Mus musculus: one gene and its partners. The protein of the gene in region 1 interacts with the protein of each later gene in a pairwise test. Links are inferred from orthologs where the notes say so. Each region holds a gene or a part of one and is shown on either strand. Other genes may lie near its edges. The genes, in order: Trim27, Zc2hc1c, Josd1, Eif4e, Pus7l, Tbc1d22b and Zbtb16.

Region 1 (4,021 bases):
AATATTCTACCATTTACTGGAAGTGTGCTGAGTTGTTTTGAGCCTGGAGTTTCAAAGAGCAGGTGGGGAGAATGGAGGTTTGGATGAGCGAGACTTGTTAAGTACCTCGGATTTCTTGTCCCATAGGGAAGAATCAAGCAGAATCCAGTGAAGTGATGGCCTGGATACAGAAATTCCCTGTTGCTCAAACACAAGGGCAGGCACGGAGTCAATCCCAAAGGAGAGTAGGAAAGGCCATGGCATAAGTGACAGCGCACAGAACTGAAAACCTATTCTGTGATAAGAAACCAGGCTACAAGACCTCCTCCGGTCATCACAGGACTCTCGATTGGGCAGAAACAAGCAAGTTTTAGGTTCTACTCAATGTCATTCGATGTACTGGGTGCTTCATTTAAACTAGCGGATAAAGATCTTTATGCTCAAGCTGTGGTTTGTTTGTTTGTTTGTTTGTTTGTTTAAAAAGGTGTAACTCCTTGATGGGGAAAATTCCTGAAAGCAATAGGGTATGGGAGCTCAAGGAGGGCACTGAACTAGATTGCTGGGAGTAAGAACTTATTAGAAGAGTTATTAACGTCATGGGCAGAAGGACAACACTACAGTGGACAATCAGAATTTTTGGCCCCAGCGCCGCAGGGCCCAGGCTGGAGGTGAGGGGTGGGGGTGGGGGTGGGGGTGGGGGAGTGTTCTGAGAATGAGGCCCACGTGGCAGAATCCGGGTTGTTTCTTCGAGGGTCTCATAGGAACCCACAGCCACGTAGGTTCCTCAGCAGGTGGCAGGGAAGACGAGAGAGAAGTGTGTCGCCAGGCAGCCCTTTGACACGTCGGGTCTGGCTACTCACTTGAGGAAGTGAGACACTGGGCACCTGAGGAGCCTGAGAAGAAGTTAGGGACTCACAAGCGGGCTCTCGGTGGGGTGGCTCCCTAGTAACGGTAGAGCTAGGGAGATGGGGGAGGACTTCATGGTCTGGTCAGCACTCTGGTCGGGATTCGATCGGTCCCCATTTCACACGAGAAGAAAATGAGGCTCGGAACGATAAACCGATTTACTTTAGGGTGGAGATAGAACTGGGCTTCTCCGTTTCTGCCCCTGAGAAAAGTTGCTGATGATTAAACCCTTTTCTAGCGATTGTTAACGCCTGGAGCTGGGTGTGTCACACTGGGAGGGGCCTAGCTGGTCTCCCCGCCCAGCTTTCCGGCATTTATGCAAAGCCATCTTACTTTTAAAGGAGCCGAGGCCTAGCCACTAAGAGGAAACTCAGCAGAAGACTACGGGCCCACAGACGCTTGGAGTGACCCGACGCCACTGCCAGGGGACACTCTGCTCCCACTGCACGCGACAGCCACGACCGACTCCCGGGCTGGGTGCCGGGGACCCAGGACTGTGCAGAGGAAACCCGCTTTCCCGCCCCGAGAGAGCAGAGCGGCGCGGGAAGCCAGGCCCCGCCCCCGGCCCACCTCTTCCGCTCGGCCCTGAGGAGTCTGCGCGGCCGCGGGACCCCTTCCGACGCGGCCACGTTGCCCGGTGAGCCAGCCCGCGGCGCCCGGTTCCCGACTCCCCTCGGCTCGGCTCTCAGCCGGGCTCCGGGGCCCAGGCCTCCTCCCCGTGCTGTCGGTGAGGAGCAGCTGTGCGGGGACGGGTCTGGCCGCCCGAGAGCTCCGCGCGCGTCTGCGATCCCCGCGCCGGAGGCCCCGCCCCGCTCCGGAGCCGAGAAGCGGAGCGAGCGCGCTGAGCTCCGACAGAGCTCGGCTCCGGGCTCATGCCCTGCGGCCCAGCCGGCCCGCGCCATGGCCTCCGGGAGCGTGGCCGAGTGCCTGCAGCAGGAGACCACCTGCCCCGTGTGCCTTCAGTACTTCGTGGAGCCTATGATGCTCGACTGCGGCCACAACATCTGTTGCGCGTGCCTGGCCCGCTGCTGGGGTGCCGCGGAGACTAACGTGTCGTGTCCGCAGTGCCGGGAGACCTTCCCGCAGCGCCACATGCGACCCAACCGGCACCTGGCCAACGTGACCCAGCTGGTGAAGCAGCTGCGCACCGAGCGGCCGTCGGGGCCCGGCGGCGAGATGGGCGTGTGCGAGAAGCACCGGGAGCCTCTGAAGCTGTACTGCGAGCAGGACCAGATGCCCATCTGCGTGGTGTGCGACCGCTCGCGCGAGCACCGCGGCCACAGCGTGCTGCCCCTGGAGGAGGCGGTGGAGGGCTTCAAGGTAGGGCCGGGCCGGCGGACAAAGGGGCGAGCCGGGGGCTTCCTGGTTTGATACCGAGAAAATGGCGAGCCGGACGTGGGGCCCACCGCCGTCATTTCCTCCCTGTCGGCTGCGGAGCCTCCGCACTCAGACTGGGAAGGAGAACCTGTAGCTGGCGAGGCCAGGAGCACCCCCACCCCCACCCCGAGCGCCCCTGCTAACCGCCTCTACGCGTGCCGCGACTGGGACGGCGCGAGGAGACCCTCCCTTGACAAAGGAGATGCACATGGAGCCAAGTACACTTCCATAGGCCTTGAACGCCTCGAACTCGCTCTGACCCAGGATACCAAGCCAGACAGTCACTGTTGGCTGGCTGAATTCACATCGAGCAGTGCCCATCACTTAATCTGTGTCCCCAGCACTTCCCTGTAAACCTGTTTTAGAACTGAATGGAAATGAACAGAGCTTTTTACTGCTTAAGTAAATCATTTAGCCACTCTCAGACTCGGGAGATGGCTTATTGTGAAGGGGAAGTGAACTCACAGGACCTTTGTGGAGTGTTGAATAAACACTGGCACAGCTACACAGTAGTACGAAAACGTTACATATAAAGTAGCTCTGAAGTGATAATGATCTTGAGGGCTGCAGGGATCTATACCAACAGAGTTATATATTTGTTTAAGTGTGAGTTCATCCAAATGTCAGTCACGTTTACAAAGCTGTCACCTGTATCATTTCACTCGCTGGAGATAAGTTGTAATTTAGTAATGTTTACTGATTCTTTGAGGAAAATAAATCTTTTTTTTTTTTCTGTATTCATCTGAGAAATAGCTTACCTTTTGAGCCTCCTTACCCAGATGTCTTGTAACCGCTTCTAGGAACTGGTAGGTGGCTAGAGTTTAAATAACAAATTGCTAACACACTTGCTGGCCCCTGTGCTTTGGGCTCTTCCCAGGAGTGGCATTATGGTCTGAGAAGAGAGTCCAGCGGGGCCTTGGCATCTGTAGTTTGGGTTCATGTGTGAAAAGCAGAGTATTCTGATGCTGAGATCTGCAAAATCTTGAACTGGCCGACTATTTACTTTCTTCAGGAGCAAATCCAGAACCGACTGGACCACCTAAGAAGAGTGAAAGACTTGAAGAAGAGACGGCGGGCACAGGGGGAGCAGGCCCGAGCTGAGCTTTTGGTAAGGGTCCAGATCTCCAGCCTGCAGAGGAATTGATTGCATTAGGATAGTAAGCTTCTGAACTGCTCTGAAAATCCCTGACAGTTCTCGGCCTTGGCAGGGGTGTAGTGAGAAGCCTCTAAGCAGAGCCTATCAGCTTTGGGAGGTTTGTCCAGAGAGAACTAGCCCCTGGGAATCCCGAACCCTGGGCCTGCTTCTTGGGTCAGACACTAGCCAGTTTAAGTGGAGTGGGTGCAGGCTTTCCGGGCCTTAATTTCTTTCTGTTGGAATAGAGGTCAGACCTAAGAAACCTGTGGATCTCCAGCAGCCAGTGCTGCCGCTTCTTCCCTTGAAATACGTGTTTTGGGTTGAATCAGAGACAGTGTGTGGAAGTGAGACGAGGCTGCCAAGTGGCCTGCAGTAAGAAACACCTGTGCCAGGGTGTAAGTCACACTGCTTTGGATACATTGCATGAATTTATTTTTAGCTTTAATGTTACCTAAGATTATATTGTGTGCTTTATGACTTTGAAAGACTTATCCAGCTTAAAAGAGGTCTGAGTAGAGGGCTCTTGGAGCAGTTGAGTTCAGGTCAGGTTTTAGCAAACTTTCTGAAAAGAGCCAGTAGTAAGTAGTTTTGCTTTGTTAGTTTACACAAGCCGAATCACAGCAC
Region 2 (3,967 bases), on another chromosome or scaffold:
AAGAGACTCCAGTGGGATCCTAACACAGAGAGAGACAGACCCAGGGATGGGAAGGGGAACTTTTCTTGCACAAGGAAGTTATGTATACTTGAACACTAGAGATTCAGGGGGAGAGTATGGAAACGAGTTAGAAAAGATGTATGGGAAAACCCATAGAAGCTGACTGAGGCAGGGTCCTAGTCCGTGGGAAACCTCTGCAATGTGGAGAAGGCCGAAGAGCCAACTGGGAATGAAAAGAATGACTGACAATCTGCCCTAGAGAGTCCACCAAGGAATTTTTTTTTGTAGCGCATAAAAGCTGACATCTGATCTGTTGTATTAACGAGACTGCTGTCTACTTTATTTCCCACGTGCTCGAATCTTCTGTGTAGTTACAAGAAAAACGGAGCTATCTGTTCCAAAACAGCTTATCCAAATGAACTGAAGCACGAAGAAGACAAATAAACTCTCTTCTGTTGTCAAAAAGTTACAGAGGACCATTTAATGTTGAAATCAAGTTATGTTCATTACTGTTGATCTGGTTGTTAACTTTATTATTGTTACTTTTGGCTGAGTCATTCCTGGGCCCTAAGTAGTAACGGTCACGTGAGAGTGAAACGTTATAATAGCAAAATGATTAGATTGGCCATAGAAACTACCCTGGGACTATAACACGTAGTGAAATAATAGTAAAGCTAATATAATAGCAAGCGCCAAAGCATTGCGAGGGAAGACAGCCCGGAGCATGTAGCCTGGAGCTCTTACATAGCCCTACCTGGGGCCTGAGCGCAGTAGCCGAGCGCACTCAGAAGGGTGATCAGCAGTCCCACTCCCGCTAGCTGGACAGACTCCCGAATCCTGGGGCGGGATGATTCCGCAGCCCATCTAGGGGCTCCACCCTTCTCCAGACAAGGGCACACCCTAAGGTCTGGGAGCTTCATTCTCGGAGAAATCCAAGTTCTTCTTTGATGTAGCCCCAGAAAAACCTCTCCAACCCCTCCCCAAGGGAAACGCTGATCTGAGCTGCGGAGTTGGCTGCACCTCGACAAGTGACCCGACTGCACCCGTACTCCACCTCCCTTCCCTCCTCCCCTCCCCACCTCCCTCCCCACCTCCCTCCCCACCTCCCCGCACTCCCTCCACCACCTCCCTCCGTCCCTCCAACCCAATCTGCCCCGGCGGCTTTCGGATTGCTTGTGGACTGCGCCTGCGCACATCTGGAGCTAAAAGTTCTCAACCAGAGGCGGTGCTCTGGTCTCCAGGCAACGGGATAACAGAGGTGGACAGAGAGCGCCTGCGTGGACGGCGGTTGGGTTTAGTCAGGTGTGGAAAACTAGGTCTTGGGGATTTTCCCTGAGCTGGAGCGGCCCCCGAGCGCCTCAGGTACGCCGAAAGGGGAGATACTGAGACCTCCCGAGGGGTTGGAGAGTGAGAGTTTATCCCTAGAGGCCGGGTCCCAGTAAGGACTCCCGTTTGACCCTCTGGGACAGAACATGACTCTGGAGTTCCGGATCCAAAGCGGGCTGGGGCGCTCAGGTGTCTGTCACCCCCTCTCCCAACACACTCTCTTTACAAGCCTGGTGCGGTTTGAGCCATAGAGCATCTTTGCATGAGGGCTTGACAGCCGGGCACCTGCTTCAGGCCCGGGTGGCTCGTGCTCTTTGTAGTTTGTAGCAAGGGGAAAGTCCAGGGAGTGCTTTGGGCCAGGCCCTGTCGCCAGGCCACTGTTCTCACCCCGTAAAACCGTGGGACTGGACTCAGAGCGGCCTCTGCAATTTACAAGAACCCGGGGCTGGTAAGAGCAGGTTGCCTGTTTTGTGTCACGGACGACCTTCTATCTAAAGCTTTTCCCACCCATTCCATAAATGGTGTAGAGCAGGTCATCTACAGGCCTGGAGGAAAGTCAGTGGCAGAACACCTGTGTCACGTCCATTCTTTGGTCCTCGGGGCTTAGCAATGTCTGGCCTGGCACATAACCATCACTCCCTAAATGCTTATTGAAAGAATGTCCTGGCAGAGCCAACACCACAGTCCCGAGAAACGTTTAAAGGGAATGTGGGTAGGGCAAATGGACAAACAGTTTACTCTAGCAGCCGGGAGTGAACCTCAGACAAATTCTTCACATGTATCTGCTTTAAATCTCCCCTAGGCTTCGGTCCAGGCACTGAATGGCTGGTCTCCAGTTGGCTCCACATCTGCCTGTGGGCGTTATGTTCCCACATAATAAAACAGAAGCTCCTGGACTCCACTCAGCTAAGCACGACCCTTACGAACAAAGTGACTCTTCCCAGCGGCCCTCGATGGGACATTTGAGGAATAGTTTCCAGTCGAAGCTTTGGAGCAACACAGAAATGGAGCAGGAGGACGAGGTCTCCACCCGCCCCAAAAGGAACGTCTGCACAAAAGCCCGGAGGCACTCCTGTCCCCACAGTGCAGGAATCAGGCAGCAAGGCTCAGGGAACAATGCCCAGGGCCAAGGAAAGGGTCTGTTTTACTTGTCTAGTCCGACACCCCGGTATCCCAAAGCAAATGACCAGGACTTCATTCCCTTTAGGAGGAAACGAGTGGGAGTGGATCGGGCTTACCCACTGAAACCCATGGTCCACCGGAAGTCACATAGTACAAGTGATGCGGGCGCAGACGGGGACCAGAATGGCTACCCAAGACTCCCTGACTCAAGTGAGTTTTCAGACAACAGCTTTGGTTTAAGGAGCTGGGTGAATTCATCTCTTCTTGCCTCTGTGCAGGCAGAGAAGGTCGTGGCGGAGCTCCATAGGACCGAGTGGACCCAGATCCAAAGGCTCGAAGCTGCAGGGGAGAGTTTACAGAAGGAGATCCGCAGAAAGGAGATTCTCCTACAAGAAAAGCTGAAGAAGACAGAGGAGGGTCTTCGAAGGATGCAGAAGGAAAAGAAACAGGCCATTTTCCAGGAAGACAGAGAGCTACAAAGGATGGTACTACCTAGAAGGAGGGTTCGAGATGGTGACCATGACACCCCACACAAACCCTGCTTGTCCCCAGAGTTCAGGTCTGAGGTATTCAGTAGAAACAGGGGAGAGGATCAAACTTGTGATCAGGCTCAGGAAAACCCTAGTCCACGCCAGCTCTCTGATTATGAACTCCAAAAGCTCAAAAGGGAAAGACTGATGGCCAGTAACAGTAAAATCCGAGATCAAGACGCAGGACCCTCAGCAGACGCGTTCTTTCAACCGGCAGAGGAGCTGGGCAGTACACTGCAGGAGTCAAGTCGGTCCGGGACACCAGGCTCCTCTGGGTCCAGCTCCTCCACAGAAGAGCCAGAGCTGGCCAAGTGCAGCCACTGTGGACGATCGTTTCTTTCCCTCAGGCTGCAGAGACACTCCACCGTCTGTGGCAAGATGCAAGGGTCCAAAAGAAAAGTGTTTGACTCTTCCAGGGCCCGGGCGAAGGGCACAGAACTAGAGCAGTACTTGAACTGGAGGGGACCAGCCACAGCCAAGGTAATAAAAGCCTCCTAGATTTGACTCTGTGCAGGGGTGCGTGGAATGGCCTGCTACGCCCTCACTGGTTTGCTTGTGGGAACTGGGGTAGTGTAGGACGGAGGGGAGAATCAGGATTTCTGTTTGCCTAGTCTCTCTAGTCAGAGCTTTGTGTAGGAGCCTCACAGTTCTGTGAGGGTAAGAATCTTATTGTGTCCGTGGGAATGTCATTACATTCATTCAAAAACCAAGGCCTAGGCTTCCCCTAAACGGATACGTGTCTGCACGCTCGTGCACATGCTTGCACACACATTGGACAGTTTAAGTAGATTCTTATCTTTCAGTGATGTCCTCAGAGACCCATGGGTAGTAGATCTACAGTCAATTGCTAATCAATAGCTCTTGCTAGTTACTATCCTAACACCTTTATGAATAGATAAATCTTAACTTTAATTGACCCCAAAATCCAGACTTCAAAATGTATGTCCTTTTGATTATTATAAAAATGAATTCGTGTTTGCTGCAGGAAA
Region 3 (4,228 bases), on another chromosome or scaffold:
GAAACAATAGTGCCTACCTCCCAAGCTGGGTGTGAGGACTCTGCGGCTGCACAGGGAGTCCTCAGAATGGAGCAGAGAGTTGGTTTGTTAGTGTCTCATTAACTCCCTTGTCAGTCCAGGAGCCAAACTCACAGAGGTCAGAACCTGTCAACCTGACCGTGACTAACTACATACAATCTGACATTAATTTACTGGTGGGTAAAACTAGGCAAACGACAGCAACTCTGTCTGGGCTTCCCAGGCCATGGCTAAGGTTGCTCTAAGTACCAAGTAGCAGCGAGCACACTCAGGTGCCCATGGCCAGTCATTTCCTTCTCCCTGGTTAGAGATGAGAAAACAATTCAGAGCTACCCAGAAGAACATTAACAGCTGGCCAAAGGGAAGTCGTTCAGAAGTAGCCTGGGCTCTCCTTTCTGTCACATGACTGGGTGGTGGAAGACACCTTTTCTTACCCCCAGAGCTTCGTCTTCTGAGGACTGAGCTGTACTTACAGAGAGCAAGTGGCACATCGGCCCTGCTGCCCTCTGATCTTTCACTGGCACTAGAAAGTAATTACTCTCACTGTAGTTCTGTAAGAGCACTCAGGATACAGCTCTTCTCAGAGACTCCTGTAGTTCTTTCAAGTTAAGTGGTCCACACTTAGGCATACCAATCACCCCAAACATCCTAGCTGTACCGCATGTTCCTGTGCAGCTCCAAATGAGGACCTCAGTGTATACCACTTACAGCATCCTTGAGCTCTCTCTGTCCTGAGGTCTTTTCCAGTTGGAGGGGTAAGACAGGCTCACTGTCAAAGCTGCTATGAACTTCTGTCATGTTGCTGGGTCCAGTCAGACACTATAGAACTAACTCTCAAGGCCCTTCAGAAAGCAAAGCAACGGGCATAAAACTGTACCCTGGACCACTTGTAGAGTGGCATATTTGTTCTACAGTCTTTTAGGGACACACTTTTAGGGACTGCACTTAGGACCCCCTACGTAATGTGCAAGCATTCTTATCACTGAACTTCACACCAGCCCCACTAAAGTTATCACACAGCAGGAGAGAGCTGGAGTCTGCTCTAATCGCAGCGTAGCTGGTTCAGAAGCTACTCTGAACAAATTACTTGACCTTTCTATTCATTTCTCTATCAGTAAAACGAACTGTGAGGAAGTCACACAGAACAAATGAAGGACACACCATGGGCAGGCAGCACATGGCCCCAGAACAGCTAAGCATTGTGGGTATACTTTTCTTGAGATTTCCACCATGTCCCACCTTTGGTAACAGATGGCTGAATGTGGATGTATTTTGTATCCCTCCTAGATTGTAAACTCCTTGGTGGCAGGTCTGTTAGGGAGGCAATAGAGCAGTGACCACCAGTGGAGATAGGACCCACTGAGCCCTGTCTTCATCACAAATGGGAATAACACATGCCACACGGAGTCCTCTGTCTGACTCCAGCCGTGGAGACAGCACAACTGAGGTTAGTCCACCACAGATGGACCATAGATGGTGACTACCTGCCTGCCATTTCTGTGTGCCTCATTCCTGCCCCCAGCATCTAAATTCCAAACCTGTAGGTTTGAAGGTTTCTGTCCCCGAGACACTGCACCACCCACACAAACTCAGAAATACCAAGAAGTGGGGGGGATCGAGATGCCAAGCAGGGGAGTCCTACCTCTGGAAAATCTCCTGCAGCGTTTCCCGCGTGAAGGCGTTGCTGTCCTGGAAGACGTTGTTGAGAGCATGAAGAGCACAGAGCTCCCTGCGCTGCTTCTCATGGTAGATTTGTGGGGGCGCTGCTTGGGGAAGGTCCGAGGATTCAGCTTTGGCCTTGTCTCCTTTCCATGGCACGCAACTCATGTTTTTCGATTTAGGTTCCAGGCAGAGCCGCTAAACACTCCGCTCCTTCCCTCCTGAGGAAAGTCTAGGTTTCTGTCTTCGGATTCCTGAGATTCACCTATTTATTCTCTGGTGTTCATGATTTATGCTTTGTCACTGGGAGGAAAGGTTGGAATCAAAAGGGACAAAAAAAAAAATCTACCTTTTTCTGTCTTCTCGATAGGAAAAAATAACTTTTGGATTAGTTTATTTAGCCAACACTTTCAAAGTGTAGAATTAACAAAGAAAAAAAAAACATATAAAACGTAGGATTCCTCCCTTTGGCTGCCGCCTTCCCCTCCCACCCCCTTTGGAAAAAAAGAAACACCACGCTTTCCTGGCCGTGTTTTCCTCTCTGCAGATGCCAACTAGGCCTCAATGCAGGAGGGCAGAACCGAAGGGGTCACATCGCTCCTTTTCTTCCATTTCGTCCGAATCACAACACCACAGGCTCCGAAGACCGGGTTGGGTGGCGGAGAAAAGGCCCAATGCCAAGAGCTAGCGAGGATCGGAGGGCGTGAGGTCGCGGGCCGCGCGGGGGCTCCGGGGATAGCGCTCCATGACCGCCAGCGGACTGGCGGACTCGGCCCAGCGGAGGAGCCGCTTCGCCTCGGCGCGGGAGGAGCCGCGGAAAGGGGAACGGCAGCCCGGGCGCCGCCGCGGGGAGGTCCCGCCTGGCCCGCGAGGGTGCGGCCGGACGCCTTGCCTCGCCCGGTGCAGCCTTGGCCCACCGGGCTGACCGTCCCCGCAGCGACCTCCTGCTGTCACGTGAGGCCAGTCCCGGGCTCCTTCCCGCTGCCTGCCCGGCGGGGACTGTTCGTCTCCCCGACGCCGCCACCTGGAGCTTGCGGGCCGCCACCTGGCCCACGCGCGGACAAGCAGGCGGCGGAGCGGGCGGGCACGCGCACCTGAGCCCGACGTCAGCGGCGTTCACTCCGCGCGCGCCCCAGACACGCCCCCGCGCTGACCCCGCCTGCCAACCTCGCGTCACCCCTGACGTTGTGTGACGTAGCCAACGCGGGCTGTTGGTCCGGTGGAGGTGCTTAGAGGTCGCGGAGCCGTTGTGCAGGGTTGTGGAGCTCCGCGGTAGCGGGGGAGGTCGACTTGTCGCTTCGCCGCAGCTCCGCCCCGGCGCCCACTCCCGCCTGGACGCCGCAGGGCCCTCCTCCCGGCAGAGTGCTTTCTTGAGCCCGGGCAGCGGCTGCCCTGGCCCACTTATGTTCATCAGATTTCCTAACACTTTACCGACGCGGTCGGGCGTAATCTTGGTTGGTGAACCCGACCGCCTCCAGTTTTCTTTGAGAGCTGAGGGCAAGACTCTCGCCGGGAGTCATATTTCAAATGGAAACCTGAGTTCTATTTCAGATCCTTGGTGTCGTATTCCAGTTCACTTCACACAAACCACTGCCCTTTTGATCAGCAACCTTCTCTTGATGGCTGTCACAAGCCTTCCTTTCTGTGTTTTCTTTTCCCTTCTGATCCTTCTTTTTAGACGTGTGTGTGTGTGCGCGTGTGTGTTCTCTAGTTCAGCTGGTCTCAAACTCATTACGTAACCAAGAATGTCCAATTTGTTCAGGGCAAGGGATCGAACCTTGGTAAATGCAAGACAAGCACTCTACCAACTAGAGCTCCGTATTTTGAGTTTAGCTGAGTACATTGTGTCCAAAGGCAGACTATTTACAGTTTCCCATGGGTTTAAATTAAGTCACTGTTTCTAACTTGCCTTCCTATCGGATTTTTGTTAGGGAAAACAACAGATTTGCACTTTCAAAGTAATGGTTTCTCTAATCCTCATGATCACCCCAATCAACAGTATTGTGCAACACATCTGAGAGATTACCACATGATAGGGCATCCTCTACCTAGACTACTTTTGAATTATCTTTTTGTGTGTGTGTGTGTGTAATGTGTAAACTACCAAACTGTTACAGTGTATTTACATAGGATTTATCTCCTAGGGACTTGCTGTTCAACCAGAATTATTGTAAACATCTATTAATTAACTGATGAGTAATTAATTATTGTTAAGCAAATTAGACTTTTTTTTTCTTTTTCAGGGAGAAAAATACAGCCCAAAGAAGTCGATCAAGTTGTTTGAAATCATTATGTCTATAGTGAATTAAGGGTTTGAGCTTGGACCAAATTGTTTTCAGAAAGAGAATGTAAAGATGATTAGGAATTACCTCTCAACTGTTACTTTTTATATTTATTCTCCAAAACATTCAATTCGAAAAGCAAGTATTCAGAATATATATCCTTTCTAGGCAAAGTCCTATAGTGAGAAGGACAGTCTTTCCCCCCAGCCAGATAGCAATGTATTCTGAAACTGAACTTTTTCTGGCCATACAATGCTAAATAGCAATCG
Region 4 (3,500 bases), on another chromosome or scaffold:
GTGAAAACAGAGATGCAGTCACACACATAGGGTACGTTGTGCTCTCCTCCTGCTTCCTTGACCCTTGGTTAATTAAGTGTGTAGATGTCTTTTATGTGCAGCTTTAGACACTTGGTGTTTATAAACTGTTATTTTCTTTGTAAATGTTTTCACAAACAAAAGTTTGGATCCTGTTAATGTTGAATGTGTTTGTCTGTTTTTCATTAATGTAAAATGGTTTTTGCAGCAGTGGTGTGTGCACTGTCTGCAGCAGGTGTATTTCCATAAAAAGTATCATGCCTTAGTTCCTGTCCATATTTAGAGCCCATGTGTTTAGAAGTTTCTCTCTCTTTTTTTTGTTTACAATTCACACACATCAATTTTGTTAGAATTCTCTTTGATTACATGCAAATCAGTAAGAAAAACCAAGCTAGATTCTAAGTGGGATTACAGGGATTCATTCATTGTTAGCTTGTCATTTTTCATCTTGTAGTATAAACATTGACCTGTAGCAATGTTGTATTTAAAAAAAAAAACAGAAATTAATGAATTTGTTATAGAACTTTTTGTGTCAATATTAGATGTTTTGAAATCTTTAAAACATTCTAACCTCAGTTATTCAAGGAAATATTTTTTTTATTGCTTCCAGTTGACACATTTTAACTTCTCATTGCTTTGTGTGTATGTGAATACATTTTTTAATAGTAAAGAGTTTTTTAAAAAACCTGTTATGGTACCATTTCATACTTAAAAAATACCTGTTTGGAAGAACTGTGATTCTGCCGGGGGTAAAGCTCGGTGAAAGTGGGTCTTCCTCATATTGTTTCTGAGAATTAAACATTCAGATTTCTTTCTAAGATTAAAAATTAAGTCCTCTGCTCTTTTCTGAGGTGCTTGTTAGCCTTATTTCATACTCACAACCCAGCCTCACAATTTTCATTTTTTTATAGCACTTGTTTTTTTTTTCAACCTTTAGATGTGCTTCATTCCCTGCAGATTAAATTGTTAATACCTTGACATCCCTCTATCCACCTCTCTACTCATCCACCCATCCATCCACTTGAGGCAGGATCTTTGCATACCTAGCCCTGGCTGTCTCAGAACTCACTAGAGATATCTGCCTCTGCTTCCCAAGTGCTGGGATTAAAGGCGTGTGCCACAATGCCTATTCCCTTTTTTGGTCTTTTAAGGAGAGATTTCTCTAATACTGCAGATAAGCTTTAGACTCTCTGAATTTAGTTGATAGTCATACAGTTAAACCTTGTTTAGTTAGTATACATCACATTTTATTTTTAAAGTAATCACAACTAATTTGAAATTGGTTTGTAAAGTTGGTACATAAAGCAAAATAGAATTCATATGTAAATACAATTTTTACTTTAGTTTTTGAGATAGGCACTTGCTATGTTAACCAAGCAATTGCTGTGAGCCCATGGACTGATCGTGTTTTGCTTGTTACTGATTTAGTAATAATTGTATCTTTTTATTAGTAATAATAAAAACAAACCTGGTGAGATTACAGGTATCTGTAATGTGATTAAAGTCTGGCTGTGAAAGTAAAGACTAATTTTTAATTTTGCTAGTTAATACTGAGAGAAAATTAACACATTTCGACTTGCATTGCTAATGTAAAGACTAATATATGATAGATTTATAAAATACATATGAAGACTTTATCTTTTTTTTTAAAATATTGTTTCTTGTCTCCCATGTCTTGTAGGAGGGTATACAAGGAAAGGTTAGGACTTCCTCCGAAGATAGTGATTGGTTATCAGTCCCACGCAGACACAGCTACAAAGAGCGGCTCCACCACTAAAAATAGGTTTGTTGTTTAAGAAGACACCTTCTGAGTATTCTCACAGGAGACTGCGTCACGCAATCGAGATTGGGAGCTGAACCAAAGCCTCATCAAAGCAGAGTGGACTGCACTGAAGTTGATTCCATCCAAGTGTTGCTAAGATATAAGAGAAGTCTCATTCGCCTTTGTCTTGTACTTCTGTGTTCATTCTCCTCCCCCACCCCCAATTTTTGCTAGTGTGTCCACTATCCCAATCAAAGAATTACAGTATACGTCACCCCAGAACCCGCAGATGTGTTCCTGGCCCGCTCTGTAACAGCCGGTTAGAATTACCATGACACACACATTTGCCTTTCCACAGTATTCGAAAAAGAACTTGCATTTCTATTACCTTAGCAGGAAAGATCTGGTTTTGCTCCACTCCATGCAGGAGCGGACTTTGCTGGTGTGAGAGTCTGAGTACAGCTTTCTAGCAACCTTCTGTTTCCTTTCACAGCATTGTCCTTGCTGTCCTCTTGCTGATGGCTGCTAGATTTAATTTATTTGCTTCCCTCCTTGATAACATTAGTGATTCTGATTTCAGTTTTTCATTTGTTTTGCTTTTGTTTTTTTCCTCGTGTAACATTGGTGAAGGATCCAGGAATATGACAGAAAGGTGGAATAAACATTAAATTTGTGCATTCTTTGGTAATTTTTTTGTTTTTTGTAACTACAAAGCTTTGCTACAAATTTATGCATTTCATTCAAATCAGTGATCTATGTCTGTGTGATCCCTAAACATAATTGTGGACTATAAAAATGTAACACCATAATTACATTCCTAACTAGAATTAGTATGTCTGCCTTTGTATCTCTATGCTGTACTTTAACACTTTGTATTCTTAGGTTATTTTGCTTTGGTTACAATGGCTCAAGTAGAAAAGCGGTCCCATCCATATTAAGACAGTGTACAAAACTGTAAATAAAATGTGTACAGTGAATTGTCTTTTAGACAACTAGATTTGTCCTTTATTTCTCCATCTCTAGAAGGAATCTGTACTTCGTATTGCAAGGCAGTCTCTTGTGTCTTCTTAGAGTGTCTTCCCCATGCACAGCCTCAGTTTGGAGCACTAGTTTATTATGTTTATTACAATTTTTAATAAATTGACTAGGTAGTATCACATGTAATTACACTGATGTGGCTATCTTTTTAATAAAGTTAAGGCACAGTTGCTCAGTCCTAGGTTGAGTGATGGACTTTGACTATGTTACAGTTGATGAGGATTGGGGTTTTGGTGCATCACCATTCGGTAGGAACAGCGGCTAGAAACTGATTGTTGGGTTTAAGATGTTTTTACTTAATGGCCAGAAAATTAGCGTAAGGAAAGTATATAGAGAAACATGCGTTAGGGACATTAGTGTTACTATCTGAATAAAACACAATAAACAAGTATTAAGAACTACTTATATTGGTCAATTGTTGCAGTATGGTTTTCTGTAAACTTGAAACCTTGATCTATTCTTTGTATCATTTAAAGCAAACATGAAGACATTTTGTCTGCAGTACGTAATTGTATAGTTCAGATCCTGTGAGATGAGGTGTGGCTGTTAACGCCGAAGGGTAAGCTGAACTGTGGGTAGCAGAGTGGAAACCATTGGCTGAGAGAAAAATGCTCTTTAAGTGGTGGTTGTTATGAATTCACACTGATAACTTGATAAAGATCCTTATAAAATACATACGGAA
Region 5 (3,500 bases), on another chromosome or scaffold:
AACTGAATTAACTGAGCCATCTCCTGAATTGTCCCTAGGCAAGATCCTTGACAAAAACCGCAGAGCTGTTCTGCACAGTGCTGTGAGGCAGGCCTTTCCTTTTTTGATCACCGTAGGAAACCAGGGTGAAGTTGTTGTAAAACCAAACCGTGAGTGTAAAGAACTCTGCCGTCTGGTGTCGGAAGAGGAGGCTCTTGGCTTTTTCAAATATTTGGACGCAAAGAAAGAAAATTCCAAGTTTACCTTTAAGCCGGATCCGAACAAGGATCACAGGAAGGCTGTGCACCATTTTCTCAACAAGAAGTTCGGAAACCTGGTGGAAACCAAATCTTTTCCCGGGCAGCACCACAGTGCTGGGAACCCAGACTCAGCCATAACTGTAAGATTCCGGGAAAAAGCACGCGGGAAGAGATCTCACCCGGAAGGCTGCGAGAGAGGAAAAGCTGTGTACACAGGTAACTTAGTAACTCATCCTTTCCTTGTGTAAAATTTGTGAACGGTGGATCATTTGAATAACGGGACCTGGTCATAGAGCTAGTGTAAAGACTATATGGACTGACTGATTGGGGGAAAGATGAAGCCTTGCCTTGTATGGTCAGTGTGAAAACGAATTTCATAAAACGGCATCTATACCGAACAGTCACGGGTGTGGAAAGCTGACGCGATTGTTTTGTGCTCGAGCAGTTTTGAGAGTAATGATTTTCCTGTTTTCAGAATAATGTCAACCATGATTAAGCATTTGGAGGTGAGACGGCTCTATTGCCATGCTTAGAAAGGGAAGAGAGACTCTAAAGTGCAAGATGCTCCCCGTCTCTCTCTCTCTCTCTCTCTCTCTCTCTCTCTCTCTCTCTCTCTCTCTCTCACACACACACACACACACACACACACACACACACTTGTCTTATCAGGCAGGGGTGCTCACACTTCAGCAAGTATTGTAACCCCTCTGCCGTATTGTTTTCTGAGTTCTGTTTCAGTTTCAGATTCAGAAGGCTTAGAGTGGAAGTTCCTCAGTTTCCCCCAGGCAGCATTTCCTGCCGATCTGGCATGGAGAATGTATCTTGAGAATTCCTGCTTTAAGGGCTATAAGGTCTCTCAAAGGCTGAATGGATCCGATGAAATGTCAGAGGACAGGTCTGGGGTTCATTGGTCACTATATGGTACTTGAGGGATAGAAAGTGTTTCCAGTGAGCATGTCTTATAAATTCATCTAGCAGACATTCAACAGTAGGCACACATGCAAACGGCACAGGGAAAGAACCGTGCCTCACAGGATTCTGGTGTGAGCGAGCCCTTCGAATTTGAAGTGCTGTGGGCTTGGTTTTGCATAGCAGCAGTTCACTCAGACACAGGTGACAGGTCAGGGCCGAATTAAAGACCTGGTGCATGCAAGGCAAGCCTTCTAACCCCGAGCTGCACCCCTAGCTGTTGCTTCTCTTCTTGAGACATGACCTCACTTAGCTGAGGCTGATCTCCGACACCAGCTTCGTAAGGCATCGTTAAACACTTTGGACACGGGAAATCTTTCATATGCTTAAAGCTCAGCATCCACAAAGGTGAGCGTGGGAAAAAAACGATACTATGAACGAGTTAATCTATTTTGAAGGAAAAGTAAAGGTAGGTTTACGTATAGGAAGAGAATTGCCGATTTAAAGTGATTTGCTGATGTATAGGAAGAATTGCGGATTTATAGGAAGGGATTGCATGATTTAAGTAGCTCTAAGGCTTATTTATTTCTCTGTCATATATTACATATGACTGAAGTTTCCCCTCCTTTCTTTCCCCCTAGTCTCTAACCACCCCCCTTCTTTTCTAGATCTACCCCTCTCAGAAAAGAGCAGGCCTCCCAGAGACATCTTCCAAACAAGGCATAATAAGCTGCAGTAAGACTAGGCACATCAAGGATGGACAAGGCAAGCCAGTAGGAGGATCAGGGTCCACAAGCAGGCCAAAGAGTCAGGGACAGTCACGCTCCCACTGTTAGCATTCCTGTAAGAACACCAAGCTACCCCACCGTAACACACACCCAGTGGACCTAGGTCGGTCGGACCCCTATAGTCTACCTGATCTCTGCGAGTCCCTTTGAGTAGCAATCAGTTCATTCTGTGGACTGGGGTCTCACGGTGTGTGACCCTGACCCCTCTGCTTCCTCCAATCCTTCCTCCCACTCCTCCACACGACTCCCAAGCTCCACCTAATGTTTGGCTGTGGGGGCTCTGCATCTGGTCCCATCAGTTGCGAGATGAAGTCTCTATGGTCACTGTGATGGTTCCGCTTGCTCGGTCCTCGAACACTCTGCAGACAGGACAAACTGTAGGTCAAAGGTTGTGTGGCTGGGTTGGTGTCCTGGTCCCTCCATTTGAGGCCTTGCAGAAGATAGCGGGTTCAGGCTCTTATTACTAGAAGTTTTTGCTAGGGTCACCCTCATAGAGTCTATGAACTTTCCATTGTACTGTTTCCACCTTGTCTCCCCAGTTCCAGTCATTTCTCCCAGTATCCCCCTCTCCAACACACACCTGATTCTTCTGTTCCCACCCCCACCAGTCCCCAGCCTCCCTCCTTGGAATCTAGTCTATTTCCCTTCCCAGGGAGATCCTTACGTCTCCTCCTAGGGCTTCTAACTTTTTATACTACTGGAAACAGTGCCAGTGATTTAGGTTAATGAGTCAAGATCTAAGAATCTTTTTATGCATTAGTTAGTTTTCCTGAAGTTAGAATTAATGGTTCACCAAGAGGCCAATATGATGATATCGGTGTATGAATGCAAAATGAGCAATTTTGCTTAGGTGACCTTTTATAAGAATCAAAATATCACGTATAAAAATATCTCTGCCTTCATGTGTTCATACACCTATCTATGTATTTATGTAATAACTTTACTATCCTTTAACTCAGGGAGTCTCAACCTGTGGCTTAGGACCACTCTGACTAACCTCTCTCTCCAAATATATTTACATCATGACTCATAACTATAGCAAAATTGCAGTTATAAAGTAGCAATGAAAAGAATCTTACCGGGTCCGGCTCACCACAACATGAGAACTGTGCTTATAGCTCACAGCATTAGGAAGGTTGAGAACCGCTGCTTTAAATGTTTACATTTAAACATTTAAAATATATTTTATGTAAAATTTACCATTTTATCCATTCCTGAGGGTTTTGGTTGAGAGCCTAGCCTTAATGGCTGATCGGTCTCTCCAGCCCACCATTGTCATGGACCAACTGTCCCCATTCATCTCCTGAATCTTAGCACCTTCCTATTCTGACGTCAGCGTCAATTGAATAATCACGCCTTCCTTTCAGTTCCCAGAAACCACCATTCTGCTTTGTATTAACGATTATTGATCTGTTCATATAAGCACTTGGAACCTGAGGCAGAACTGCTTTTATTGTATTCGGAAGATTGAACAGAAATGCAACCAATCAGGAGTCTTGTGTGTTGGAATGTAGGATATATGAGTGAAAATGGACTGCAACAACCTCCTCTAAGTTTCGGTGGC
Region 6 (4,037 bases), on another chromosome or scaffold:
TTTCTTTAGGTGGGAAAAGAAGGAGCCTTGAGAATTTGCCAGTATGTTGGGCCAGCAAGATGGCTCAATGGGTATAGGGGCTTACAGCCAGTCTTGACGACCTGAGTTCGGTGAGAAGAGAAAACTGAAGTTCTCCTTTGACCTCTCTCTCTCTCTCTCTCTCTCTCTCTCTCTCTCTCTCTCTCCTCTCTCTCTCTCTCTCACACACACACACACACTGAATAAATGTAATGTATTTTTCAATATTTAGAAACCCTAGGGTGTTAGTACAGAGATGGATTGAGCAGTAGCTCGCACATATCCACAGTTCCTTGTCTGAACAAACATTTCTTCGGAGTAGAAAAAGGAAGTACCCTCCATCTTCCCCCAAATGTCCCAGAACACACTCAAAAAAGAGAGGTAGTCATTAACATGACACCCAAAGGAGACAACATGCTAAAATTAGATCTCATTTTGAGTCAAAATTAGATTGAAAAATGAATCTATAGATGGAAGATTTATAGCCAGTTAATAAAGGAGTTGAGGATATTGGGGGTACATCCTTCATCTTCCTGATTGTTGCCATGGGGATGAACAACGTCCCTAGAGAAAATGCTACTTGGAGGATAAATTAGTATTTCCTAAGCATGACTTCTCAGTATCTGGATCCTCATAACCAGAAAGAGTCAGACCCGAAGAAGGGATTACATCACGAAGTTCAGTTAGCGGAAGAAAGGGGGAGTCTGATAAATCAACTGCTACTCATACAACAGTTACCCGCACTGGGGTATGGCCGGAACTGTCCTCTGCGAAACTAGGACCATAAGGGAACAAGGCGGGGGTGGGGGGGTGGGGGGGTAACCACCCTGGGTGCCATTGAGGTGAGGGACATTAAAAAATGTTCATTATTACATGAGGCCTTCCTTTAAAGACTAATGTATACAAATGTTATGGTTTCTCCTTACCCCTCTCCACCAAGACAACCCCAGAACCTCAGCCCATCAAAGGCAACAGTCCCATCTACTTCTTCCTCGCAGTACCTGGTTCTCTGCCTCCGGGGAGTAGGAACTTTCAGCCCCGCCTTCCTGCCCATCTAAGCCCCGCCTCCCCGGCCCACCTGTGTGCCCAGCCCCTGACGTTGCCGCGGGCCTTCAGCGGCCCGCAGGATCCGGGATCCTCATTGGTCCATCCGCCCACCGGCCTGCTCAGCCCACCAATGGCAACGGTGTTGGGCGGGGGGAGTGCCCACATCCAAGATGGCGCCCCCAGGAGCTGGGAGCGGGTGACCGGCGGCGGGGAAGCGGCCTGGGCTGGCCCTCAGATTGCGGGGTCCCGGGGGCCTGTCGCGGGGCCCCCCCGTGACCCACCGACCAGGCCTTCCCCCGGGCCGGAGAGATGGCCGCCGAGAACAGCAAGCAGTTCTGGAAGAGGAGCGCCAAGCTACCGGGGAGGTGAGCCCAGGACGCTGAGGGGAGTGGGGATTGGACCCAAAGCCTTCCAGATCCTGGTCCCTGAATCCCTCCGTCTTGGGGTACCCCCGAGGCCGGAGGGCTGGTGTCGGAGTAGCCCAGGCTGGAGCAGCTGTCAATCAGAGGAGCCTGGCCAGCTTGGGTGTGGGGTGCAGACTGGGGTCTGGGGGCGGGGAACCTCAGCTGGGAGGTGTCAGGGGACCAGTGTGAGGGGCAGTGGAGTTGGGCGAGTTGCCATTGTCAGCGTAGCCGTGGAGGGCCACCTGCAGACCGCTTCCGACTTTCTACAGAACTCCTTAGGGGTCTCCAACAGCATGGGTGGCTGCTTGCATGAGGGTTGGTGGCCCCATGGCCTTGGTTCCCAGCCCATCATCACATTCCTGTCTTCCCTTGGACTCCCAAAGGGGTTCTGATAGGAGAGCCTGGGCCAGGCCTGCAGGGGTATGAGCAAGACAGGGGAGGGGGAATTCTCAAGCCTGACCTTACTCTGTCTTGAGTTGGTCCTTTCTTTTGAGAAATTATTACAGGGTGGCCGCAGGGTGGAGAATAAGTTATTCCTTCTGGCATCCCGGAGAAGTGATGATTTTTCAGTGTGGATGCATTAAGTTCTTTTATTCTTGTTTTGTTGGAGAGCAGACCTTTCAAGCAACTTATTCCCTTAGTGTTTCTTTCTCTTGTTAGTGTATGTTGACACTGAGCAATTGTCTCTCAGTCAGGCTGCCTTTTGGTTTACTGGTTCCGTTTGTTTTGGGTGATGTCCTGAAAAATGAAAGCCCTATGTGTTTCACTACTGAATTTAAGATTTCTGCCAGCCACAGGCTGCTTGGTGTTAAGAGTTTGTGTCTGGTCACCGCCCTCATGAGTTCTATCCTTAGTGATTTTCCTGTTAAGTCTTTTTTTGTTCAGGTGTAGTCCTTTGACCTGTGACCTCGCACTCTTCCCTTCCTCCTTTCCCTCTCTCTCTCCCCTCTTTCCCATTCTCTCTCCTCCTTCTCTTCCCCTCCCCCTCCCTCTCCTCTTTCTCCCCCTCTTCCGTTCTCTCTTCACACTGTTGAAGACACTCTGCCACTGAGTTACACACAGCCCTCGCCCCCTTCTTCAAGCGAAAGAGAAACTGAGAGTCAGCATTGGCTGTGTAACTTTTCTGAGCTGTCATTACACACGTGGAGAAAGTTGAGGGACCAGGTTTTAGCAATGTGTGCTAATATAATAGCAGGGGAGGCAAAGCTAGCTTTGGGTTGAAGTGCTGTGGGGCTAGGGTGTTCACACATTGAACAGTGACACTGTGTTTTTAGATAAGCTCCGCTTCCTGCCACAGATTTCTTTTCCTTCCTGCTTGAGTGAGCTCTCCAGCTGCGTGGACTGCTCTTCTCTGGGAGTTTGCTCTGGAGGGGTCATTTCATTTTGATATCCTAAGATAACGATCATTGGGAAAATGGTGACGTCAGGAAGCAGGGGTGAGGACAATGGGCGATGGATGGTCTTTGTGCCTTTGGACTGCCAGATGTGGTGTATTAATGGCCTTTTGTCTTTTTCTTCTACTGGCCTACAGGAAGTCAACTTTTTAAAAGTACCACTTTAAATAATTATATTTATTCATCTACTTAATCAGTGTGTGTGTGTGTGTGTGTGTGTGTGTGTGTATGTGTGTGTGTATGCCACAGTGCTCACGTAGAGGTCAGAGGACAATTTACAGGAGTCAGTTCTCTGCTTCCACCCCGTGGATCTCAGGGCTTGAACTCAGGTCATCAGGCTTAGCCGCAAGCATCGTTATCTGCTGAGCCTTTTTGATGGCCCAAAAGCATTGCTTTTGCTAGCTAGGAGGATTCTTCAGTTTCTTCAAATCTCTGGCTTCCTTTTTCATTTTGAAACATAGAGCCACAGAGGCAAGAATCTTGGAGTCCAGGTCACCACCATTTATCATTATTATTATCATTACCATTGTCATCGTCATCATCATTGACATCGTCCTTCAGATTCTCTGATCTGTAGGACTCACAATCTATTTAAGCTTCAGTTTCCTATGAAGTGGGGACTAAAAACTCTTCCCTCAGAATTCCCCGAAGGCTAACCAAAATGCCCTATTTGTAAAGAACCCAGGACAGTGTTTATTTAGTACACTGTACTTGCTCTATAAATAGTCATTATTAATTGTCCTCTTGTTATTAGAGCAAGCAGACATTTAAAAGGATGTGTCTCAGCTCCCCAGAGCTAGTTATTTGTCTCCTTTATTATAGAGGCATAAAAATGTTGCCATGATCCATAAACCCTGACCCATACCTTGCCTGGTGAGGGCGGTGTTGTCTCCTGTACACTCTTGGCAGAGAGTCCCAGACAGCTTGGGGCTGTGGGGAGAAGCTGGTGTTGGTTCCCATAGAAGGTGCTTTGGTTCCAGAACAGAACTTTGATGTCTGAACTCTTTTGAGTGTGGAGATGGCCGAGCATGTGCTGGGTCCTCAGAGATGTAGAGAGCTACTTTTCTCTTCTTTGCAGTTTGAAAGGTGAGAAAAGTCCAAGTTGTAACCGGTTACTTTCAGTTTCTTTGATCATGACAGAGTGACTTTAGCGACAGCAAGTAGAGATCTTGTT
Region 7 (4,115 bases), on another chromosome or scaffold:
AGGCCAGTGTCCACCATGAGGCTCACAAACTTACTTAAAAGTAAGAAGCATTCGGCTTTCCTGTCCACCCCTATGGGCAAGCCCTCATCTTCAATGTTTTTCTAGTTCTGGCTCACTGAGACGGCCTTAGGAGACAACCAGATCTAGCCAGGGCTGTTAAACATGATGGTGGTCCCAGATCTGCTGGCCATGAAGCTGTCTTCTCCTAGTCATCCTAGACATGACTCCTCTCCATCATCCAGTGGTTTCTATGGCCTCTGTCCTTGCACGCTTAAGTCAGGGCTGCACAGGATTGGCAGACCCATACTTAGGCTGTGACAAACACACCACACCGCACCCTCCCCCTCACACCCATCACATCACATTCTACCTTAACTCATTTTTAACTACAAGTTCTTTAAAGCTGCTGTATGTGTCCAAGGTGTGTGTGTGTGTGTGTGTGCGCGCGCGTGTGTGCGCGCGCACGTGTGCACAGGTGTGCACACGCGTGAATGTACACCTACATGCAATTATACAAGATGCTACAGCCTCCTCTTTTACCCACAGCCCACAAGCCCCCCAATGGACAGAATGCTCTAAAATGAGAAAGTGGGTAACACCATAGGAGAGTATGTTCCCAACAGCCTTGAGAGTGCACACCAGACTGGATGCCTCCCAGGTGTTGGCAAGCCCAGCGACAAAGAGAAAAACTGACATTGAATATGGTTCTCTAAGTGACATTGGCACCAGCATCTCTGGGGTGAATTAAGCCCAAAAGAAGGGAAGACAGGGCTGGAACACAAAGGCCTCTCCCAGAAAGTGTTCTGGATGACTGAGAGGCTCCCAACTTTGAACAGCCATTGGGACATAGGCAGAAAGACCTAACGGGATAAGGTCCCAACCTCTGTCTCTCTGTAGCCAACATTTCCCACAGCCTGGGGAAGAGGGTGGAGAGAGCTAGGCTCTCAGCCACTCTTCGCAGAGCTTGCCTTCACCCTCGACAGGAGTCTTAAAGACTCTTAGGTGCAAAACTCATGCGGAAAGAGTTAACAATAGTGGCTGGCCACTCTTATTGCCCACCCTAAAGTGGAAACGGAGGGCATCATCAAGAACGGTGAGATATCCATTCCTCAAAAGCTTCATGAGCACGGTGTGCTTTCGGGAGAGAGATCAGAGATTTGGAGAACTAAGGGGGAGAAGCCAAAATAAAGAAGGTTCGCTGCTCAAAGGAACCTTTTGGGCCTTGAGGGAAATCAAGGTGCCCTATCCCTAACCGGCGGCTCCGCACCCGCGATCCGACCGTCCCTAGGTGCAGCGATCAGCCGATTCTGGGCAAAGCCAGCGCTAACCCGCCAGAGCTCCGAGGATCGATGGTGCAACACACCCCTTGTTCCCAGAGACCCCCGCCGAGACTTGCATAGGACTTTGGCAAACTTGGGAAAGCAACTTTTCCCCAGGAGTCAGGTGCCTGGAAGAAAGGGAACAGAACTAAGAAAGGGGGAAAGCGAAAGAGCCTGGGGAAAGGAGAAGGTCCGAGCGGGCTGGACGCCGCTGCTAGGCCGGCCCGGCAGCGCAACCCCCCCAGGGGAGAAAAGGATGCACAAAAGCCTGGAGGCGAGTGGTGGGAGGCCAAATGAGAAGAGATCTCTGGGTCCTCCACCTTCCACCCAAGATCACGATCCCCGGGAAGTCACCAGCAGGGTCCCCGGCCTCCCGCACCAGCTGCCGGCGTGCCCGAGTCAAACACGCTGGGAGCGTGGCGGGGAGGAGGCGAGCTGGTTGCAGCGGTGCGCTCCTGTGCATTCCGGTGGGGTCCGCAGGCTGGCAGGATCGTGCGCATTTCGAGCGCGTGCGGGAGCGTGCGAGGGGCTGGGCAAGCTTGCAGCGCGCCAGGGTGGGAAAGACATCCCGAATGCATCAGGTGCAGAGCCGGGAACCCACCGTGCGCGGCCGGGAGCGCACAGCGAGCTCCCGCTCCACCGGCCGTTCCCACCGAGAGCCGAGGAGGACTCGGAGCGCCAGAGTCTCTCCGAAGCGTCCCTCTCTCCTTAAAAGAGGGCATCAAGTCCAATCAAAAAAAGAAGAAAAAAATCCCACCACGTTTTCTCTAAAGAAAACAAAACCCGATCGGATACCAGTCCCCTCCCACCCGACCCCCAGGTTCACTCCTTGCTTCCTCCGGGTCTAGCTCCCCAGCTCGCCAGCGAATAAACACAAATAAATAAGACACAATCCTATCTCACGCCAAGCGCACCGGTCCGCATACATATGAGCACCCACAGGCTCTCTGCTCCTCCGCCAGCCCTTGCCTGTACAAAGACACCCAGTCCCCGACTACACGCGCCCGCAGCCCTGGCAGACCTCCCGGCCTGCCACCTCTCACCCGGACCGGACCGTGCCCGGAGAAGAAAGGTTGGTGAGGCAGCTGTGCCCAAGCTGACAGCCTCAGCGCCGCTTTCTAGCTGACCCCCAACGGGCACTGGCGATCGCTGCTGCAGCAGCAACCAGAGAACCCCGCACGAGCCCAGCGGCCGAGTGGCCAAAGCTAGCACCACCCGCCTAAACCTCTCCCGCCCCAGGGCGCCCTGGCGGGAGGCGGTCGCTGGGCGGTGCGAGTCCTTCCCGGGTTTCCTACACACATACACTTACCGCTTACGGAGCCTGGAGCTTGGGGTGGGTGTGCGTGCCTGGGGGGTTAGGGGTGTGCCTGGATCGGGGAAGGGGTGTTGCTGGGGAACTGTTGCTCCGGATCTCACGGCGGCAGCGGCGGCATCGCCCGGCAGTTCGCAGTACCCGCTCTCGTCACCCTTAACTCCTCTCTGCCGCTAGGTTAGCAAATCACCACCGGCTGCGGCGCCTCCGCCGCGTCCCACGTCAACGCCGAGCCCCCTCCCCTGCGAGGCCCCGGCGCCTCTCCATCTTTAGTGCTGGCGGCCGAGCCCGGCTCCCTGCCCACAGCTGCCCCCTCCCCTCCCCCTGGCCGGTCCTGGCCCGCCCACCCCGCCCCACCCCCGCCCTGGCAGAGCCCGTGCGCTCTCCCAGCCCTGCCCTCCCTTCCCGGGCGCTCCCCTCCCTTCCCAGCGCTCGGCGCTCCGGGCTTCTCCTGACATCTAGCTGCTGCCCCGGCGGCAGCGGCTGCTGCTCGTTGGCTAGGTGGAGAGGGCAAAAGGTTGCAAAGGAAGAGGAGCCGCAGAGGACCTGGCAGTCCCCAAGGGGTCAGAAGGATGAGTGGGAGAAGCGGTTCCCACTTTAGCCCCAGGTTTTTTCATTTCCACTGGGCATGCGGTGTATCCCGCGCCCCTAACTCCCCCAACTCCAGTACTCAAGAGCGCAGTTTTGTCCCGTTTTTTATTATTTGCACCAGTTCAGTGTGTGGCTTCTAGCTTTTCACTTTTTCTCAGGATTCGGATCGCATCCTCCCTTACCCTAGCTTTAAATGGGTCGTTTCCCAAGTCCCAAACCAGGCCTCTGATGCCTGACCACAGGAGTTCGCCGGATTTGGCCAGATAAATCTAAAGGGGCCAGTAGAAATCTGGTAGGAGGCAGCACCTCGATTTTGCTATCTAGATTGTTGCACACTGAGATGCGAAGGCCTGAGTAGTAATACTTTCTCACTCCTAATCTCGGGCATCCTCCCCGCCCGCACGCCCCCCCCCATCTTCCCCGGCCCCAGGAACCTGGATGGAAAGTTCTGAAGATTCTGCGCCTAACTCAGCTCTGCCTTCAGGAGCTACTGGAAGCTTGGAAGAGCGCTGGGCCGCTCCAGAGTACTTTCTTCCCTCAGCGGCTGGACCATTTTAAAGGGCGTACTTGAGATGACAAACCGTAGGGTAGAAAGACCAAAGGAAAAAAAATATTCCTTCTACCCGCGGAAAGCACCGTCTCCTCCTTTGCACACGAAGCTAGGCAGGGAATTGAGGTTGGAGGGTTCTTTTCTGAGCACTGGCCTCCGGCCAAAGCCCCAGCGCAGTGTTATTGGGGGTGTGGTGGAGAGCGCCACCCAGGGGTCTCAGAAAAGTCACCCACACAGCCCCACCCTCCAGTCCTAAGGTATTAGTTCCAGGCTTCAGTTTAGGGGTGCTGTGTTCTTGGCTTACCGCGGATCTCCCACAGGACCCACAGAATCGTATCTTGAT

Evidence for each region.
Region 2: the proteins of Trim27 (region 1) and Zc2hc1c interact in binary tests that used the Homo sapiens proteins (3 or more experiments, as listed by UniProt). The two-hybrid records come from large-scale screens. The link is inferred for Mus musculus from reciprocal best matches to the Homo sapiens genes TRIM27 and ZC2HC1C.
Region 3: the proteins of Trim27 (region 1) and Josd1 interact in binary tests that used the Homo sapiens proteins (3 or more experiments, as listed by UniProt). The two-hybrid records come from large-scale screens. The link is inferred for Mus musculus from reciprocal best matches to the Homo sapiens genes TRIM27 and JOSD1.
Region 4: the proteins of Trim27 (region 1) and Eif4e interact in binary tests that used the Homo sapiens proteins (3 or more experiments, as listed by UniProt). The link is inferred for Mus musculus from reciprocal best matches to the Homo sapiens genes TRIM27 and EIF4E.
Region 5: the proteins of Trim27 (region 1) and Pus7l interact in binary tests that used the Homo sapiens proteins (3 or more experiments, as listed by UniProt). The two-hybrid records come from large-scale screens. The link is inferred for Mus musculus from reciprocal best matches to the Homo sapiens genes TRIM27 and PUS7L.
Region 6: the proteins of Trim27 (region 1) and Tbc1d22b interact in binary tests that used the Homo sapiens proteins (3 or more experiments, as listed by UniProt). The link is inferred for Mus musculus from reciprocal best matches to the Homo sapiens genes TRIM27 and TBC1D22B.
Region 7: the proteins of Trim27 (region 1) and Zbtb16 interact in binary tests that used the Homo sapiens proteins (3 or more experiments, as listed by UniProt). The two-hybrid records come from large-scale screens. The link is inferred for Mus musculus from reciprocal best matches to the Homo sapiens genes TRIM27 and ZBTB16.

The regions. Positions count from the first base shown.
Region 1 is NC_000079.6:21,178,710-21,182,730, forward strand, and holds the start of Trim27 (zinc finger protein RFP), read left to right. Parts: upstream 1-1,221; 5' UTR 1,222-1,785; coding exon 1,786-2,205; intron 2,206-3,274; coding exon 3,275-3,370; intron 3,371-4,021. UniProt on the Homo sapiens protein: E3 ubiquitin-protein ligase that mediates ubiquitination of various substrates and thereby plays a role in diffent processes including proliferation, innate immunity, apoptosis, immune response or autophagy.
Region 2 is NC_000078.6:85,287,424-85,291,390, forward strand, and holds the start of Zc2hc1c (zinc finger C2HC domain-containing protein 1C), read left to right. Parts: upstream 1-1,167; 5' UTR 1,168-1,362; intron 1,363-2,128; 5' UTR 2,129-2,147; coding exon 2,148-3,458; intron 3,459-3,967. Other genes in the region: Acyp1 (acylphosphatase-1), read right to left, coding at 755-920.
Region 3 is NC_000081.6:79,685,073-79,689,300, forward strand, and holds the start of Josd1 (josephin-1), read right to left. Parts: upstream 2,801-4,228; 5' UTR 1,846-2,800; coding exon 1,661-1,845; intron 1-1,660.
Region 4 is NC_000069.6:138,553,691-138,557,190, forward strand, and holds part of Eif4e (eukaryotic translation initiation factor 4E), read left to right. Parts: coding exon 1-31; intron 32-1,699; coding exon 1,700-1,814; 3' UTR 1,815-3,500. UniProt on the Homo sapiens protein: Acts in the cytoplasm to initiate and regulate protein synthesis and is required in the nucleus for export of a subset of mRNAs from the nucleus to the cytoplasm which promotes processes such as RNA capping, processing and splicing.
Region 5 is NC_000081.6:94,537,008-94,540,507, reverse strand, and holds part of Pus7l (pseudouridylate synthase 7 homolog-like protein), read left to right. Parts: coding exon 1-455; intron 456-3,500. UniProt on the Homo sapiens protein: Pseudouridine synthase that catalyzes pseudouridylation of mRNAs.
Region 6 is NC_000083.6:29,548,565-29,552,601, forward strand, and holds the start of Tbc1d22b (TBC1 domain family member 22B), read left to right. Parts: upstream 1-1,237; 5' UTR 1,238-1,374; coding exon 1,375-1,430; intron 1,431-4,037. UniProt on the Homo sapiens protein: May act as a GTPase-activating protein for Rab family protein(s).
Region 7 is NC_000075.6:48,833,426-48,837,540, forward strand, and holds the start of Zbtb16 (zinc finger and BTB domain-containing protein 16), read right to left. Parts: upstream 2,801-4,115; 5' UTR 2,629-2,800; intron 2,517-2,628; exon of another isoform or gene 2,363-2,516; intron 1-2,362. UniProt on the Homo sapiens protein: Acts as a transcriptional repressor. Transcriptional repression may be mediated through recruitment of histone deacetylases to target promoters. May play a role in myeloid maturation and in the development and/or maintenance of other differentiated tissues.